Linked DNA regions of Mus musculus. The protein of the gene in region 1 purifies or fractionates together with the protein of each later gene. This does not show direct contact. Links are inferred from orthologs where the notes say so. Each region holds a gene or a part of one and is shown on either strand. Other genes may lie near its edges.

What was found.
Region 2: the proteins of Kbtbd8 (region 1) and Pkn1 purify together in Homo sapiens (affinity purification with western blotting; 3 studies listed by BioGRID and IntAct, with this or other methods). This does not show direct contact. The link is inferred for Mus musculus from reciprocal best matches to the Homo sapiens genes KBTBD8 and PKN1.

What each region holds. Positions count from the first base shown.
Region 1 is NC_000072.6:95,116,242-95,120,726, forward strand, and holds the start of Kbtbd8 (kelch repeat and BTB domain-containing protein 8), read left to right. Parts: upstream 1-1,638; 5' UTR 1,639-1,717; coding exon 1,718-1,733; intron 1,734-2,281; coding exon 2,282-2,492; intron 2,493-4,485. UniProt on the Homo sapiens protein: Substrate-specific adapter of a BCR (BTB-CUL3-RBX1) E3 ubiquitin ligase complex that acts as a regulator of neural crest specification.
Region 2 is NC_000074.6:83,696,121-83,700,697, reverse strand, and holds the start of Pkn1 (serine/threonine-protein kinase N1), read left to right. Parts: upstream 1-1,518; 5' UTR 1,519-1,710; coding exon 1,711-1,731; intron 1,732-4,577. UniProt on the Homo sapiens protein: PKC-related serine/threonine-protein kinase involved in various processes such as regulation of the intermediate filaments of the actin cytoskeleton, cell migration, tumor cell invasion and transcription regulation.

The DNA.
Region 1 (4,485 bases):
ACAAGGTCACCTGGAGTTGGTGATGAGGCTCCCTGGGAGCTGGTAGTGTGCATGCATGGTGCCTGTGGTTCAATTTACAGCAATATACTAAATACATAAATAAAAAATAATAAAATATTCAACTGCTTGACCTAATGCTAGGAAAGTTACTACTGTGAACTAAGTCTCTACTGAAGCTTCCTTCCCATTCACTGATAAAGGGGTATCTGCAAGTATTTGTTCACTTCGCTTTCCATTCATCTTTTAAGTTTCTACAACTTGTCAGAGCATCCTGTTAGATGCCAGAAACAGGATGAGGAAATCAGAATAGATAACAAGGTGGCTGGGGAGATGGCTCCGTGATTAAAGTGCTTGCCATGCCGAGAGAGAGAGAGAGAGAGAGAGAGAGAGAGAGAGAGAGAGAGAGAGAGAGAGAGAGAGTTAATATCTCTGGGTTTCGATTGAGAGACCATGCTTCACTGTATAAGGTAGAAAAGCAGCGTTGTAGGATTTCTGACACCAATCTCCGGCCTCCACGTGCACCTGCACCGCCCCCCAACATGTACATCCACTCGTGCAAACAAAACAAAACAAAACAAAACACCAAACCACAGATACAAATGCACACACACAGAGACTCAGACAGACAGACAGACAGACAGACACACACACACACACACACACACAATAGGAGAAGAAAAAAAAATAGGTCAACAATAAAACCCCTGCTTTCTTGCAAAAAACTATGAAGTAGACTGAATGCCGAGTGCTCGCTGTTATAAGAGAGGTTCAAGGGCTGGAAGAGCTTGTGCAAGAGCCAGGGTTGAGCACGGTCCAGAGGAGCGCCAGGCTCAGCCTCTCTCCAGCATCTCTTCACAGGAAAGCCGGAGGCCCTCTTCACGTTCAAGAAGCCCAGGGGAAATCAATTATCCGAGTCTCCCTTGAGTACTCGAGCGCTCTTCGGTGTGACAGGTGTTTCCTGGTGTGCTAGAAATGCAAGCCAAGTGGATTCAGGTCCTGAGTGGCCATGTAACCAGACCCAGTTGATCTGTGAAAAGCGGGGCATGTGGCTAAGGGGATGCAATTTCAAGTGGGCGTTACAGGTGACTCATCAGAGACCTATCGATGGTGTGTGTGTGTGTGTTGGGGGGGGGGGGGTTGTCTTATATCCTTTGTATTTTTGGATAACAGCCCTCCTGACCATTTCCAACTTTTCGGAGTTTCATAGCCCTCGTGCAGAGCGCGTTTTCATACCAGAATCTAGTCACGGATAGGGAATTTGGGGTATGAAGACAATTATTTTTAAAGTGGAGTCGAGACTAGGAGAGAGGCCCTTGCCGGGGAAATTTGCTCAATAAGAGCTTTTCCTACCTCACTCCTCAGAGTGACAGTTCGCCTCAGCCAGATGACTACATTTCCCAGCGGGCGCTGTGCATCTCAAGGCACAGGCTGGCGGGCTCGGGGCGCTCCTCCGCCCAGCTAGCCAATAGAAATGCTCGGCTTGGGCCTCTGTCCGACTAGGAGCACGCGGGAACGGGGGCCTTAAAACTACATTTCCCGACGCGCTGGTAATCGCGCACTGACCAATCAGAGCCAGGTATTTTGAGGCTCGGGGAGGAGCCGACTCGGTCAGCCACCCTCATTGGCTAGGCAACGCTTAGCAGAGCCGGAACCCGGGAGCGAGCGAAACGCAATGACATTTCCTCTTTAAATAACCGGAGCCGGGGCCCCTGTAGTAATGGCCGCGTCGGCAGGTGGGTGGCGTGGTGCGGCCGCCCGCAGTGTCGGAGGAGGGAAGCAGGAGCGCGGGCGCCGGCCACAACCTGAAGCGGCGGCCTTAAGGCGGGAGGGAAGGATGGAGAGACGGCGGGCGCGGAGGCGAGGATGAATGGGGAGGAGGGCGGTGGGCGGCGCGCCCGCGAAGATGGGGCGTCTGGGTACCGGCCGCCCGCGAGGCGGTTGAGGGGTGCCCTGGCAGTCGCCCTCGATCGCGCTGCCCTCGGGAGCCTTCCGTCCCGCGCTCGACCCGGAGCCGAGTCCCCGCGCATCGCCGCCGCTGCCGGCTCGGCTGGCTCGCCTCACACGCTCCCTCCGCGAGCGCGGCGGTCCGGGCTCGCCGGGCTCCGGAGGAGCGCGCCGGCCTGGGAACTTGTTCGCCCTTGTTGAGCTCTCGGCTCCTAGAGCCTGTGTCGGCGCTCCTGTGCCCACACACGGACGTTTGTGTACGGGGTGGGGGGGAAAAAAACCCACGATGCCGTAAACTGGCTTCGAACTTCTTGTGGTTGTGCGATTTTTCTCCTAGATTTAAGTAAGTCTTCCCCAACACCGAATGGGATTCCATCTTCAGACACAGCCAACGATACCATGGATCCTTTCCATGCTTGCAGTATTCTTAAGCAACTCAAAACAATGTACGATGAAGGACAGTTGACAGACATTGTAGTGGAAGTGGATCACGGGAAAACATTTTCCTGTCATAGAAACGTTCTTGCTGCAATCAGCCCCTACTTCAGGTATGACGACGGTAGAAACTTATATATTACTATCCGTACAAGACTCCCTTTCAACCCAGTGTTAGCCACTTGATTGTGGTACTGAGTTGGGACAAATACATAAAGGCAAACCAGGTGTTTATTTTCTGAGAGTAGGTAACAGGTCTTGCTTGTCTTACTAATGAGCCCCTGTTTTGAGGTGGGATTCCAGAGTTTAGATAGTTGGATTTTAAGTTAGTGGACTTGTGAGGTATTCATACTATGTATGCTGCCAGCCACATTTGAAAAAAATTATAATGCTTTAAAATTAAAATCAGTGGCGACACTAAAACATGTCACGTGCACAGACAACTAAGTGTGGCTGGTGGCTGCTGTACTGGGCAACGGGGATATACAGTGTTTCAATCAATCATTGAAATGATCTAGAATTTTAAATATTTCTGATGTTTCCCCACCCCCCACCCCCGGTTTTTAGTACATAGGACTTTTTTTTTTTTTTTTTTTTTTTGAGTTTAAAACATAGGAACTTGCTCCTTTATAAATAAACTAGGATTTTAAGATTGTTTTAATGCCATGGAGTTTTGTGAAGAGTAGTGAAATAAAATACAGGTTATTTATGTCTTACTTTCCAAGATTCCCAGAAATAGTTCATGCTTTCTAAACTCTCTTTTTGTCCCTTTTGCCATAAAATGTTGAAAAGTGAAAGTTTTATTTGAACTCAAGTCTGAAAACTAAGTTTTTAGTCTAAGAACAGATGATTGGAATCGGTTTTGTTTCAGGTACTTCCTTCTAAAAGCCCTTCAGCATACAGAAGTGGTTCGTGAATGATAGGAAGACTATCTTGTCAGCCACACTCTTGCTCTATCTTTTGAGGTGCTTATAAGGTGCTTATCCATCCCACTGTAATGTTGCATTCATTAGTTTCTGGTCCCTCTTTCTCAGAATGCTGGGTCAAATACAGTTACATCAGTTTTGATATTGAAAATCGTTTAGACTTGCCTGGGGTAGGTCATTGAACCAAGTATTAATTATTACAGGATAGAAAGCTGGAAAGAAAAAAGATGAAATGTCCAGAACACAGGTTGGCTTGGCATTAGAAGCCACTGCTGCTTGTCATGTGTGTATTTGAATATATGGCACGCTTGTTCCTTACCAAACTCTGAGTGAAGCTTACTTGATATGTATTGTCTTCAATAATCCTAATAATCTTGTGCTTATACAGTTATGCCCATATGTGTATGAAAAGATCCAGATGAGTGATATCTAAGTCATTCAAATGGCAGAACTAGATTTTATTCTAAAATTAGACTTCTTATTGTGTGACACTTAACAAAATGGATCAAGTGGGTCTCCATTCAAGTTTCTGTTTTTTTTTTTAATGAAACAAAACTATATTCCCTTTGAATAGTAAAAGTAAATAAATAAATACATTGAATGGATATGGGAGTGCATGCTTTTAATCCCAGCATGTGGGGAGCCAGAAGCAGGGGAATCTCTGAGTTTGAGGCCAGCCTAGTCCACATAGTTTCAGGACAATCAGTGCTGTATGAAAAGCCCTTGTCTCAGCATAGTAACAACAAAAGTTTCTTTAGAATGAAACCTTAAGGAAAGGTAATGATGTTTACAAGTAAGTCCTACTTAAAGCTCCAAGTATTCTATCTGTGTTGGGGAAAGAAGATTCAAAAATATACTCACTTAAAACAAGAACAAAAACCAAACTGTCTTAAAAGTGTATGCCTAGGCTACTCAGAATTTACTGTTGTTGAGGATGCCCCCGCACTTCAGCCTTCCACTAAGTGCGATCATACACCACTGCACCCATCTAAGAAGCTCAGTCTTAAGGTTGGACATTGGGGAATTTAAAAATAATTTCCAAAGAATCAGTGATGTGTTAAATGTTAAACTCTTTAGAAAAAAAAGCATATTAACCCTGCCATAACTTTTTGTGTAGATATAAATAGGTAAAGTACAGGAACTTAACTGAGAAAATGAGGTATATCTATTAAGGAAGGGT
Region 2 (4,577 bases), on another chromosome or scaffold:
GTAAAAAGGAAGTTAGATGACTAGTGTGGCAAGCTATTTAACTCACTCCACCAACATTTGAGCTATAATGAGGGTGTCAACTTGCTGAAGCAGCGAGTGGCAAGTGACCAAGGGCGGCAGGTGACACAGGACCTGGTGGGCTCCTCCTGGAAATGTCTAGACTTTAGGCTCCGTTGGTATGCGGTTTGGGGAAGAGACTGTAAGGAGGAGGCGGCTGGGGGACAAGGAAGGAAGCCTCTACTGTAGTCTTGAGAGTTCAGTGATGGAGTATTGGGCCTGTTCAGGGCTTAGGAAGATGAGTTTGGGTGCCCCCCCCAAATGATAGGGTGCAGAAGAAAAGCCATCCTGTAAGTCACTCACTGGCCACCACACATTTGGCTTGGCATGTGTGGTACATGCACGTGAACACACTCAATAAATGGTATAAAGATTAAAATAGGAGTTGAAGAGATAGAAGCAATACTACTCTTGTAGAAAACTCAAGTCTGGACCCAGCACCCAGGTGGTGCAGTCCACAAACAGTTTATAACTTCCTTTTAGGGCATCCCATGTCTTCTTCTGACCTCCAGAGGCACCCACACACATGTGCATAACTCACACAAAGAAACACATATATACACATGCAAGAAATTAAATATGAGTCTTTTCTAGCAAATAGTATAAGATTAGTCTTTTGGACAGTAATTAAAATCATTATCTCTCCTACCTTATAGGACTTTTAAGGAGATGTTTTAATCCTCCTCACCCAGTAAAACTTTTGTTTATACAAAGCGCCCCCCCCCCCCCCGCTCCATTCTAGGAAATTGATCGCTTGGAGCAGTGACCCCTTTCCCCTTCAATTTCCTCTGCGCCAATTTTCTCAGACTAGCCAATTGAATAAGACTGCGAGGTCACCTGAGTTAGAATAGAAACCATATGCACTTCCTGTCTTCTCTTTGCTTTTCCGCAGCGCACTGTCTTGATGAAGAGTAAAGTTTGCCTTGTTCGGACATTTCATTTTGAAGGATGGTCTCTTTCTTTGCCACCCCGAAACTTATTCCTAACACACATGAATCAAAATAAAGTCTTTAAAAAAATGAGCTAAAAGTGACAACTGCTGGCATTTATTGTGCACTTGGGATCTATACACTTGCCCTACTCTTCCTCAAGTTTTACAGACATCCTAGTCCTGAGGGGTATTGTGTTCCCCCAAGGCCCAGGACACTGGGATTTGAAGTCAGGCTCTCCCTGTGTTTGCCTCCCGGGAAACGGGAGGGAGGATGCCTCTGTGCAGCTGGGCCGTGTGTGTCGAGGGTGGTGGTGGACGGTGACCATTGCATTCAAAGGGGTTGGAGGCGGGGGACAAGGCCTCTGAGGCTCGCGGTCGCTTAGGCCCGCTCAGAGTCCCCTACGCTACAAGGAGCGCTTGCCGCACCCCACAGCCAACAGGGACCCTATTTCCCCGCTGCAAGCCCCGGGGGCCGCCGGGAGCCCCGCCCCCGCCCCGCCTCCTCCCCAGGCGCGGACCTCGGCGCTCACGTGACCCACCCTGCAGCCGCTGGGGCCGGAGGGCGCAGCTCGGCGGAGGCCTGGCCAGGCCGGGCCGAGCGCAGCAGGCCGGAGCGCGCCGCGCGCCTGGGAGGGTCTGGGCGCCGCGCCTCCCGCCGCACCCGCCCGCGCGCTCGCAAGCCCTTCCTTGGCGCTGGGACCCCTGGCGGGCGGCCGGAGGACATGGCCGGCGACGCCGTACAGGTAGGCGACTTGTCCGCACCCGCGGGGCGGCCAGAAGGCGCGGAGGACCCCAGGCACGGGTAGAGTCCCGGACGAGGTCCCCATCGGGAGCCCGCGCGGGCCCTTGTAGCAGGTGGAGGCGCCGACCGGGTCGGAGGAAGGGGTGCTGTTCGGGATTCTACCCCAGCATCCCCTCCTTTGGCCCTCCCCGAGAGTCAGCGTGTGTAGCGGGGTCCCCACTTCGGTGTCCGAGGCTAGCTGCGGATCCCGGTGCCTGTCGTCCCCACATCCTACTCTGGGTCCTGCAGCGTTCGGTTTCTGTCAGGTGCCGCTTCACCTGGAGCAGGTGCCTGGCACCCTGCCCCGGACCGGAGGAGTGCCCGGCCCGATCCCCTCCCCCGCACAACAAAGCCCGGGCCACCCCCGCCTGCAGACGTCTTTACGATGGTCTTGACGCCACCCAGATGGGCACCTGTTGGAGGAAGTGTCTAAGTCACTTCACTAGGCCTGAGGCCGGGTTCCTCCTTCCGCCTTGTTCCCCATAACCACCCTTCAGGCTGACAGATGGAGCTGTAACCCAGGTGGGGCGTGTCCTGTCACACAGACAGGAAGGATTTTATGTCTGGAAGGTGACAGGGCTGGGTCTCTACTCCCTCGCAACAGACACCTGTGACTGGCATCTGCCAGCCACATGGCCTTCCCTGTGTGACCTGTTGGGCGTTACTGAAGCAGGGTCAGGGTCGGGGTGACTGACTCCCCACTCTAATTCAGTGGCCCAAAATCTGAGATCTTTGTATCTTTGTGGCTCCATTAATTCGTCACCATGCAGTCCATTGTCCTGTGTAACTGGTTCTCATCTCCTTCTACACCTGCCCCCATGTCTCCCCTGTACCCTTCTGTACCCGTCTTCCCCAGTCCTGCTGATGGCCTGCCGGCCTTGCCGAGGAGCTGGGCGTATCTGGTGCTGCCGATCTCACAAGGTCAGACCTCCAGGCTGATGCACCGGTGCCGGCTCCCCTTCAAGCCCACTGAGGGCTGTGCAGGGCTGTCCCAGTACATGCATGTGCTTGGTGTGTCCCGAGTAGGACGCACATGGAGGCTGTGATTCCCAGAATGAGGCTGGACCTACATCTTGGTCCCCGTCCCGTCTTCTCCCTTATGTTCATTCCCGCTTGGACTTGCTGCCTGGTTCCACCGTCTCCGTGCCTGTCTGTTCTGTGTCTGGCAAACGGATGTCCTGTCTAGATTCTGGAAACGCCCCAGGCATTGAAATCTCAGGAAGTGGGGTTTTGGGTTCCTAGCCACTTTGCCAAGAGGGTTTCCCCAAGGTGACAGTTCTTGGTCTGCTGTCTGCAGATCTGTAATGGCAGGTGGAGAAGCTGACCTTCTAATTCCTCAAGACCAGGCCAGGCGTTTGCCCTGCTGCCCTCAAGTGACTCCTTGTCCCTGGGCAGAAGTGAGTCACCGAGGAGGAGGACCCAGGAGGCCCTGCCTCCCTGCCTGCATGCTTTTCACATTCCCAGGCCTTCTCTGCTGGAGGTGGGGCCAAGGACCTTCACCTCTCCTCTTTGCTTGAGCTGGCCCTGCTCCTGGCTGTGTACCTGCTTTGCCTGCTGGGTTGGGGGCGCTGGTGGGCGACAGTGGGTGGGGCCTGGTCATGACAGAGTATTGTTCAGTGAGGCCAGGTTTAAATACCAATGCTGCCTTCCCTAATGAGTTCTTGGGTCAAACACTTTTACCTTACAGAGTCTTGTTTCTGTTTTGGAGGAGGCAATGGGGTTAGGAATGGTATGAGGGTCTGGTGGTGGTAGTGCACACCTTTGATTCCAGGACTTGGGAGGCAGAGGCAGGGGGATCTCTGAGTTTGAGGTCAGACTGGTCTATAGAGTTCTAGGACAGCCAGGGCAACTCAGAAAAACCCTGGGTGGGGGTGGGGAGGTGGGGGGAGTGAGGGTGAGATGATGGCTATGCAGAGAGAGGTGGAGCCTCAGCCAGTTCTGTGCTTCTCTGACACCTTTACTTTGAACATAGAGCTTGACAGTCTAGGCTGGGAACCCACACCCCTTCCCAAGGCCCCAGCAATGGCCTTGTGTGGGGGTCATTGTGTAGTGGGGCTGTCCTGTGTACCTCGGAATGTTGACATGGATAGGTGTCCCCTGTATACTTTGGTTGTAATGACAACAAGAATGACCCCAGACATTGACATGCGTTTCTCAAGGCGATGAGAAGACGACCCTACCTTCACTGAGAGCACAGCTATGGCCTCTTTGAGCATCGGTTTCCCCCTATGGTGACTACTGCTCAGATACACAGTGAGGAGATGACAGGGTCACAGGATCTGTGCTCTTGGCCTGCAGCCTCATCCGAAGGGCTTAAGAGCCTAGGAGAACATTGCTCATTGTGATGGTGATGGCTCACTACTTCTAGGTGTGCTGGACGTGGGATTCTTCCCAGCTAATGTGAATCTTGGCTCTGTCTCTTGCTGCCTGTGGGACCTGGAGCAGGGGGCCTCAGCTAGTTTGTCCATCCGTCTGTCCTTCCTTCCTTCCTCTCTCTCTCTCTCTCTCTCTCTCTCTCTCTCCCTCTCTCCCTCTCTCTCTTTCTCTCTTATCTGTCTTATCATCTCTAGCATCTACATCTTGCTGTGCTAGGTGCAAAGGTGCCTGTTACAATCCTATCTCTGGCAAGTAGGAAGCAGGAGGATCAGGAGTTCAAGGCCAGCCTTCACTATGTATTAAATTCAGAGCCATATGGGTTATATGAGACAGAGCCACAAAATGAAACATAGTACCTGACACATGGAGGACGTTCTCTGAGACCTGGGTGAGGCTGGAGCAGGCGCTGTTTTGTTGCTCTTGAGGTACAGA